2 linked regions of the Caenorhabditis elegans genome follow. The protein of the gene in region 2 interacts with the protein of the main gene of each other region in a pairwise test. Each region holds a gene or a part of one and is shown on either strand. Other genes may lie near its edges. The genes, in order: M05D6.2 and ufd-1.

Evidence for each region.
Region 1: the proteins of ufd-1 (region 2) and M05D6.2 interact in a two-hybrid assay, tested with the Caenorhabditis elegans proteins (one large-scale study listed by BioGRID).

The regions. Positions count from the first base shown.
Region 1 is NC_003280.10:8,466,163-8,470,687, reverse strand, and holds M05D6.2 (T-complex protein 11-like protein 1), read right to left. Parts: upstream 2,580-4,525; 5' UTR 2,566-2,579; coding exon 2,273-2,565; intron 2,226-2,272; coding exon 2,123-2,225; intron 2,079-2,122; coding exon 2,006-2,078; intron 1,959-2,005; coding exon 1,808-1,958; intron 1,762-1,807; coding exon 1,246-1,761; intron 1,192-1,245; coding exon 913-1,191; intron 859-912; coding exon 708-858; 3' UTR 526-707; downstream 1-525. Other genes in the region: M05D6.8 (ShKT domain-containing protein), read left to right, coding at 233-324, 420-516; F22B5.10 (Calcium load-activated calcium channel homolog), read right to left, coding at 2,884-3,054, 3,125-3,514; fars-3 (Phenylalanine--tRNA ligase beta subunit), read right to left, coding at 3,740-3,825, 3,872-3,940, 3,992-4,460, 4,506-4,525.
Region 2 is NC_003282.8:12,328,638-12,332,930, forward strand, and holds ufd-1 (Ubiquitin fusion degradation protein 1 homolog), read right to left. Parts: upstream 2,254-4,293; 5' UTR 2,238-2,253; coding exon 2,160-2,237; intron 2,139-2,159; exon of another isoform or gene 2,133-2,138; coding exon of another isoform or gene 2,073-2,132; intron 2,012-2,072; coding exon 1,874-2,011; intron 1,825-1,873; coding exon 1,613-1,824; intron 1,543-1,612; coding exon 1,082-1,542; intron 1,015-1,081; coding exon 875-1,014; 3' UTR 771-874; downstream 1-770. Other genes in the region: F19B6.1 (Uridine kinase), read right to left, coding at 2,944-3,078, 3,121-3,469, 4,020-4,293. UniProt on the Caenorhabditis elegans protein: Functions at a post-ubiquitination step in the ubiquitin fusion degradation (UFD) pathway. In association with npl-4.1 and/or npl-4.2 and ATPase cdc-48.1 and/or cdc-48.2, involved in the cytoplasmic elimination of misfolded proteins exported from the ER.

The sequences.
Region 1 (4,525 bases), on a different chromosome or scaffold from region 2:
AATTGGGGAAGTTGAGCATAATAATATTGGTAAAGAATAAGACTTCACTTTAAATGTACGCGATAGCTTTTTCGATGGGCCTTGCCACGATGTAGGAACTTTTGTAGCAACTAATACCAAACTTCACAGCACTGTTCATAAAACGGAAGAGCTGAATTTATGAAAAATTTTAATAATTTAGAGTGCTCAAGAGGAAAAAATGAGTTTTGAAAAACATGTATTATTATTTCAGATAATGATGCGTCAATGTGCTAAAACATGTGGTTTCTGCCCCCAATTTGTTCGTCTTCCACAAACATCTCGTTGTCGTGACTCGTTTCAGAGGTATAAATCGAAAAATATAGCTATTAGAAAATGCTTTTAAATATGTAGTTGTAGAAATTAATGAACTATTCCATAATTCGACCTTTCCTTTCAAGCTGTCCAAAATGGGCTCGAAATGGCTTCTGTCACTCCACTTATTACACGTTGGACGAGAGGAAGACTTACTGTTTGAAAAGTTGTGGAGGTTGTTGAACAACGAGCACTCACTCACCAATTCATGTAAATAATTGAACATATATATGAAACCAAATAATTAATGCTGACATATATAAATGATAACCATCAGAAGCATGAGATTATGTCACAAAGCATATTGAAGATCGGAATTTGGAACTTTACAGTAATAACAAGTGGCAAATATTTCAGATTTTTTGTTCTGTGAATTAGGCAGATGTGCTAGGACCAGGCATAGAAGAGGGACTATCAGCACGATAGATTGCATGCGTCGAAGGAGTATGTCCTTGAAACTCCTGGATGAGGTTGGAATACATCGCGTAAAATGTCTTCCGGTTGTGGACACAGAGACGAAGGAATCTGTAAAATTTGCATAATTTCACAAACAACTTTCTCATTCTTCAATTAGCTTACTTCGATGTGAAAGCACACAATTCAGATTGAATCACAGAAAGACCTGGAAGTAGGCGATGTGGAACAGAAGTTGGACTTCGGAGCATTTCTTCAACAAATGTGGAAACTCTGGTATGAACCAGCTTTCTGATAGGATTATCTGAGCTGATCAGTGCGTTGATTTGGTTTCGAATAGATGTTGAGCTTTCAGTATTCCATTCGATATTCAGCTTCTTCGACGTGTCGACTGCCTCTTTCACACATTGCTCACCGATTTTCTCGAGATCGGATTTTATTCGTCTGAAATAATATTTTATTGTATATGGTCTTTGAATAAAAATCAAAGCGACTCACTCTTCGTCTGTATTATTTGTGATTACAATCAAATGATCTTTTAATGTTTTCTTGAAATCTGCACTTTCAGAAATTTGTTTCCCTGCTACATTGCATGTGACGAATACAGATGATGCACACATAACAATTTGCAAAAACTTTTCCGCAAGCAATTCAATCTTGATTTTGTCGATTTTCAAAGTTTCCGGAAATCCATCATATTCATTGACTTGAATTAACTTAGTATAACCTCGACTTGTAGTATCAATTAAGACTGTATCTGTATCTTCATTTTTTCTCTCTTTTTTCACTGATGTCTCCTCTCCTTCAGCATCTAATTTTTTCTCAAACAACTCGTCATATGCAGCTTTCAGCCACTGTCTGGCAAAATAACATCCGTTCGGATTCTCAATCAGAAATTTCTGAAACATGTCATATTCGTGTTTTGATGAGTATTCCTCGATGGCCGCACGGTTCTGTGATATTTGATAGTTGGTTAAATCATTTTTCATTAGCTCCAGAAGATCCATCGTTCCTCTGAAACAAAATAGAAAATATTTCTCTCCATTTATTTTCTGCTCACTCGAAAATATCAATAACGTCAGTTCTGGTCCTTAATTCGGCAACTTTCACATCTCGGGCTGGAGAGCACAGTCTTGAGCATAAGTCAACAATATATTTCATCACTTTCTTGATATCAAGCTGGCCTTGGTCTAACTTGCCACGTAGAGCAGCTGAAAAAATTTAAACTTAAAAAAAAAAAAATAAAAATTGAATTTACTTTCGTCAAGCATCGAGTTGATTTCAGCTTTTAAACGTGTATGTTGGGCAGTTAAAATGTCATCCAGAATCATCTGAAAATTGAAATTTTATTTTAAAAATTCATATAACATCTTACAGTTTTGACTTCCATCAGAAAACTGAAACAGTACTCCAGTTCAGGAGGATCTTTGGCAAGATCCCGGCGTAGCTGATTGTAGTAGGCCTTGTGCATTGATTCTCTGAAAATTTTAATTTATTTAATTGAAATAAATAAGGAGTTTCTCACTGAACACATCGTTGAATTGCATTTGTTGGTTTATCGGGAATTTGAAAATTAGGATCGATTGCAATTTCATGAACCAACTCCATATTTTCTAATTCATTTGTCATTTTCATCAATTCTTCATGACTGACAAACTTTGCTGGTGATCCTCCAGCCACCCATGGTGGAAGCGATGGAGTATTTTTCGATTCTTGAGCTCCAGGAATTGGTACAGGCTGCGGTGAGACATGCCGTTTTCTGCTCTTTTTGTCTTCTGATCCAGAGGGACTATTCGGTCTTTTTTCTTCGTCACTCATTTTTCTGTATTTCACTGAAAATGTTAAAGTATCCAAAATTTTTCGTGGAATACAATTTCCAAATATTCCAGAGATTTAAACCCGGAAATAACATAGAAAAAATGAATTACAGAACTTGGTATTCATTATCACAACATACGAATATATTTCATTCCAGTAAAATCATTGAGAAACGAATGATTGAGCAGCACACAGAAGTTGAAACTTACAGAATAAATATGATTTTTGATTGAAAATTTTGGGAAGAGAAAGAAAATAAATAGTGCTTATTATCAGAGATAGGTTTCACATGAGTTGAAAGTGAAAGTTTTACTTAAATTAACGGAGATAGTTCATTTGGGAGTTTGGTGGAGCCCATGGTGAGGACTGTTGGCGAGCCATAGCGCGAGATGGTGCGAATCCAAGGATTTTTTGGAGATTTTGACGAACGGTCATGGTACAGAGAATATAAAGGAAAATGAACGAACAATCAGTCATGTCTTCGCCAATCTGAAAAAATAAAGTAATAAAAACCGAGTTTACTACATGCTATCAGAGTTTTTTTTCAAACGATGCTTACCAAGTTTCTATGAGAAAGACCCTGGATGAATCCAATTGGATAGAATGGAAGTTTGGCGACAACACGTCCTTCAAAAATCGAGTTGAATGTAGACAAGAGTGCAGTGAACGCGAGTCCAATCGCGAACATTGATTTCATCTTGAACATGCTCATATCTCTGTTAGTTGCCTTTAATCGTTCTTCTTCTCTCTCAAGCTTTCTTTTGATATTTTTATCATTGGTGTCCCCGACTTCTTGCTTCTTCTTCTCTAATTTCTTCGTCTTCTTGTCCATATCAGCTTTCAGTCTTTTGTAGTGATCGGATCTATACACAAGAAGCCATGTGATACCTTCACCGGCAAGGGCAGTTCCGAACGCGATCGCAATAATCAGGAGGCAATCACCCAACATCTTTAATTACAGTTTTTAAATACGAGACACATAGAATTTTTGAGTAGATAAAACCACGGATGAAACCGAGAGACAATGAAATAACCAATATGAAAACTCTTAGTTGAAACATTTTAATTAAAGAAAAACAGCAAGCATGAAATATTTAAAAACCACATTTCAGAGGAAAAATCCATAAATAATCGCAATAACAAAACCAAAAACCGGGAAGTAACAAAAATATGTTTAAAGGAATGGTTCCACATTGATTTCGACAGCTCCACATGGCAATGTGAGCCCGAAGGAGGTGATAACTTCTGGATGGAGAGCTCCTAAAATATTAAATATTAAAAGGATGTCATTTTAAATATGACTTGCCGATATGTCCGAGAACGACTCCCTTTGGACCGATAATCTTGGCACACCGTCCTGGGAAGTAGGTTGAATCTGAAAAAGTAGCATATTTCAATTATAAGGACTCATAAATACAAATCTTACTTTCATCGGCTTCGATGTAGTATCCAGTTCCGTCGCGCGCAGGATTGACATTTAGCATTCTCATAATTCGATCCAAGAATCCTTGAATAATCTCGAAACCAGCAGCTCTATTGTAGTACACTGCAGCAAGTCTTCTCTCATTTCTTGCTCCAACATCTGTATTTGAGTCTTTCACAATAACATCTTGAAGCTCAAACAATTTCAATGGGAGTGGCATGTCTCGGTTGGAAGACAGTGTTTTCAAAAGTCCGGGAAGAAGGGATGTTCGAGCAACTTGGAATTCAAGAGTTTTTGGATTTCCAATATGAACTGCATGAGAAAGTGCATCTGGCTGGCGGAGCTTTGAAGAAATGTCGTCACGGCTGCACAATGCGAAGTTCAAAGCTTCTGTCCATCCAGCGGCAGCAATTTCGATCCGGAGATTATCGCAGAGCTTGTTGATTGGGAAGGCCACAGCAACAGTATTGGACTGAAAATACTTATTTAGAATTTAATCTAGAAAATGAATAAATACCTCCGGAAGCTTTGTAATCA
Region 2 (4,293 bases):
TTGGATTATTTTGCTTTTTCAGGTATGCTCAAGAAATGCGAAAGCATTCATGCTTCGTAAGTGGAAGGAGCTCAAACCTCCTGGAGTGAGAACTCCGACAAAGAACTGATCCACCTCTTCAATCTTCAACATCCAGCCATTGTAGGCAATTATGGTATTTTATGTTTGTATCCCAACTCGTATAATTTGTTTCTCCGTTCTCTCGATTTGCTTCAGCTATCCTACTTTCTTTTTTTTTGTATTTTATTCGATTCTTTCGCCGTATCAATAAATTAGTATTTATTTTAATGATTTTTTGGTGTTGTAGATGTAATTTTTGTATTGAGACTTGACTTTTTCCTGCAGAATCTTGACTATTTTCGAGTGATCTTTTGTGAAGCTATCGACTATTTGGACCTTTTTCTGCAAAAAATAGAGTTGGCTTTCAAAACAGCATTTTCTCCAGGTTTTTTCATTCATAGAAGTTTGGATAAGAAACCACTCCACCCATCACTGACATCGCTGAAGGTTCATCAGCTTCATGGCCGAGCTCCTTGAATATTGAATTTTTCGATTCAACAAAAAAATTTCAATTGAAAAAGTCCATTTGTGTGTTTTCGGAAGCACAGACGCTAGCCAGAATTTATGATCTAAACAAGTTCTGCAATTTTTTAAACCTTACAAGGCATTTTTGTAACAAGTGAATAGTTCTATAATATTAGTTATTTCATTTTTTTCTCCGGAGATCTCCTTCAATTTCATCTCTGAATCACACTTATCAAAGAATAATATATTCAAATAAATTTATCCTGTACAAAAAAGTGGCGATGAACTTTTACAAGGTTATGTGAAGTGAAAGATGTTATTCATAGCACAATTGGCCAGATTCGAGACATTAACGGGCTCCTCTCAGTGTTCGATTGCCTCCACGGAAGACATTTGACGGTTGTCCTGCCTTGCTGGCTTCTTTCTCTCGGAGCTCTTTTTCGAGAACATCAACACGTTTATAATCATAACGAAGGAATGAAACACGACCTGAAAATCATAAAATTTAACTTTTCAATTATTTTGAAATGTTTATTTCAGATGAAACAAGTATTACCTGGTTTGTAGTCTTCATTGACAACCACTGGTGGAATAGCTGGCAAATCATTCGCCACTGGAGCTGCATTACTCGTACTAACACCGGTTCCATCTGAGAGTGATACTGAAGATGATGGCTTCTTCTTTCCATCGAGACGACGCCCAGCTCCTCCGAATACAGAAGTTGCATTTTGTCCTGTCCCTCCACTACCACCAGCTTTTTGTCCAGCTCCAATAAATGCGGATGCATCTGGCGCAGGCGGCTTGGCAGTGACAGCAGGAGTCACCTGTCTCGGTTGTTCAACGTAGCCTTCTGGAGGATCGAAATCGAGATTAACATCACATTCAATGATGCACACAGAGTTGGCCGGTTTCAAATCAACGACGAGGAATTCGAGAGTTTGTCCAGCATATGATGTTGGGATCCGATCGTTTTTGGTGAGGCATGCATATTTTCGAAGTTCCACTTCAAGAACAGCTCTGAAAAATAGAAAAATATAGGACTTTGTTCAAAAACTTCAAAAAATTATTAGAGTTTATGAAAACTCACTTTGGATTAGTAATATTCAGAAACTCGAGTGACATCGGCTTCAATTTAGCAAACGTGGCTTTCGGAAGAGTTGCAGACTCAATGCGAATGGTATCTCCATCGTCAAGTCCCAATTGCTGCATCATCCAAAGTGGCAGAATGGCTTGTCCTTCTGGAGCAGAAAATTCAAGAACACCGCAATGAGTTACACGTTGAACAGCCATATTGGTTAGCTGTAAATTTTAATGGTTTTCTAGTTACTTCAAGCTATACAAAACAAACCTTGAAAAGCATTGGCATCGGAATATTATATTGCATGAGCAAGTTGAGAGCAGATGACGGCAGAAGAATCTTTCCACCATAATTGATTTCGCTTATTTTTGACTGTGTTGCATTGGGAAGGAATACGGGCCCATATACCTGAAATTTAATTGTTTATTAACGCTGAAATATAATCTTTGAAATCCAATTTATTATTTACAATGAGATCGAAATGACGAGTAGTTCGGCGAAGTTGTTGTTGAAAAAAGTTTGCAAACATCTTTCGAAATGAATTTTAAAAGCTCACCACAAAAGTTTGATCATAATTCCCGACTCGGCCGCCCATCTGCATCCCGTGAAGTCCTTGTTGTATCCACGCTTGCATTTTTATTTTTGGTTTTCTGAAAAGTTATTAACGTTTTCTTCAACTATAATTCAAAAAATACAAAGAGGATGAGCCAACCAAGAAAAGAGAGCTCATTGATCATTTAAATATTTAACAAACTGCAATTTATTATAGAAAGAAATTACTAAAATGCACGTGTGAAGGAAACTTGACAAAAATTGAAGAAAAACACAATGAACAACATGAAAAAGAGAATGCGTGAATGGATGATGATATTAAAACCGATTCCTGCAACGACAAACGCGCTCCGTTGAACAAAAAAGAAATGGAACAACGAGAAAACCGAATGTCGTGTACAGATTTTTGTGTGGAAACGCGCAAAGATGTAGAGGGAAGAATTTAACCGTCACAAACAACGCGAAAAAACACTAGAAAGAACAGGGTATAAATGAATTATCGAGCTGAATGCCAGAAATCATGAAGAGAAGTCAATAAAATGAAGAACGGAAAAAAAGGACGACAAAAAATGAAATAGCATATAAAATTTCAACAACAAATGGAAACAAAATGTATAGAAGGATGGATATGATGATGGGAAAGAAAGAACATTATGAATAATTATAATTATAATAATAAAGTTAGTGAAAAGGAACAAGAAAGTAGGAATTCATCAGATGAAATGGAAGGAAAACAGAAACTTTGATAAATTATGAAGAAAATTGATCATTTTTGTGATAACAGATGATCACATATCGAATGGCTCGTCCATGTCTTGTTCGAGCCCGGTTCCGTAATATCGATCACCAAAATTGCCCATTCCGGGAATCAGATAGCAATTTTCCGTCATTTGGTGGTCCATTGCGGTGGTGATTAATTTAACCTGAAAATTAATAATTTTTAATTCAAATAAAAAATTGTAAACCTTCGGGAAGGCATAAGCCAGTGCATGTGCACCTTGTTGACCCATAAGCAGAGATGCAACAAATATGTCTTCCTCTTTAACATCATGATCAAGAAGTACACGAATTGCCATCATCGCAGCACTCCCAGTAGTTACGGTGGCGTCCATAATGATAACTTTGTATCGAGTTATGTGTGGTGGCAAACGTATATAATGAAGTTCTGGATCAAACGTCGTCTCGTTGGTTTGAATCAAAATTTTTCCGATCACGCAGTCCTTGACGATTGAGCGAAGAGCAGTCTCCATACATTCGCCGGCTCGCATGATTGGAAGACCACAAATCTGAGCGTCCTTTCGTTTGCCAATAGTTCTGAAATAAAAATTAAAGTTTCTAGATGGTTGAGCCTATTTTAGACGTTTTCAATTGTTTAGTTTTCAAGTTTTATTTAGAAAAAGTTTATTCTTATATTGGAAACAATAGAACATTAATATCCGAATATCCGAAACCAAGATCTGAAACTTTGCAATTCTTAAGCCGAAAATACGGTAGCCGGTCTCGATTCGACAGATTTTTTGCTGAAAGAGCGCCTTTAAAGATTACTGTAATTTTAAATTACTGCAGAATTTTTATTGATTCTTTGTAGTTTTTCTATAAAAATTATTTCTGTATTAAAAAACTTGATTGAAACCATAAACAAAACTTAAAATAAAACAAAAAATCCGCAGTGATAAGAAATTGAAACTACAGTACTATTTCAAGGCGCACACTTTTGTTTAACAAACATTTGTCGTGTCGAGACCGGGTACCGTATTTTTGCAGTCAGATTCAGAAATTTCAGAAAGGTTGGCGCTGATTTCAGATTTCAAAAAGGAATTTTCAAATCTTGCAGTGACCATTTTTCAGTTTCAAATTTACTCACTTTCTACCGCCGGCCATCTCAATCTCAACATCTTTGTAAGGCATATGATTCATGCATTCTTCAATAAGAATACGCATTAATCGATCAGAATAGAAAATATGATTGTCTCTACTCGTTTCTCGATCACGAACAAACGTGACAAGACCTTTGACCTGTGGAGTTTCTTTTAAAATGAACAGGTTTTCCGGCAAACAATCCGGTAGATCGTCGCGAACCAAATCGTGACGATCACGGTTGTTCTGATTGCGATCGTATCCGCGTTCAACGAGCTGTG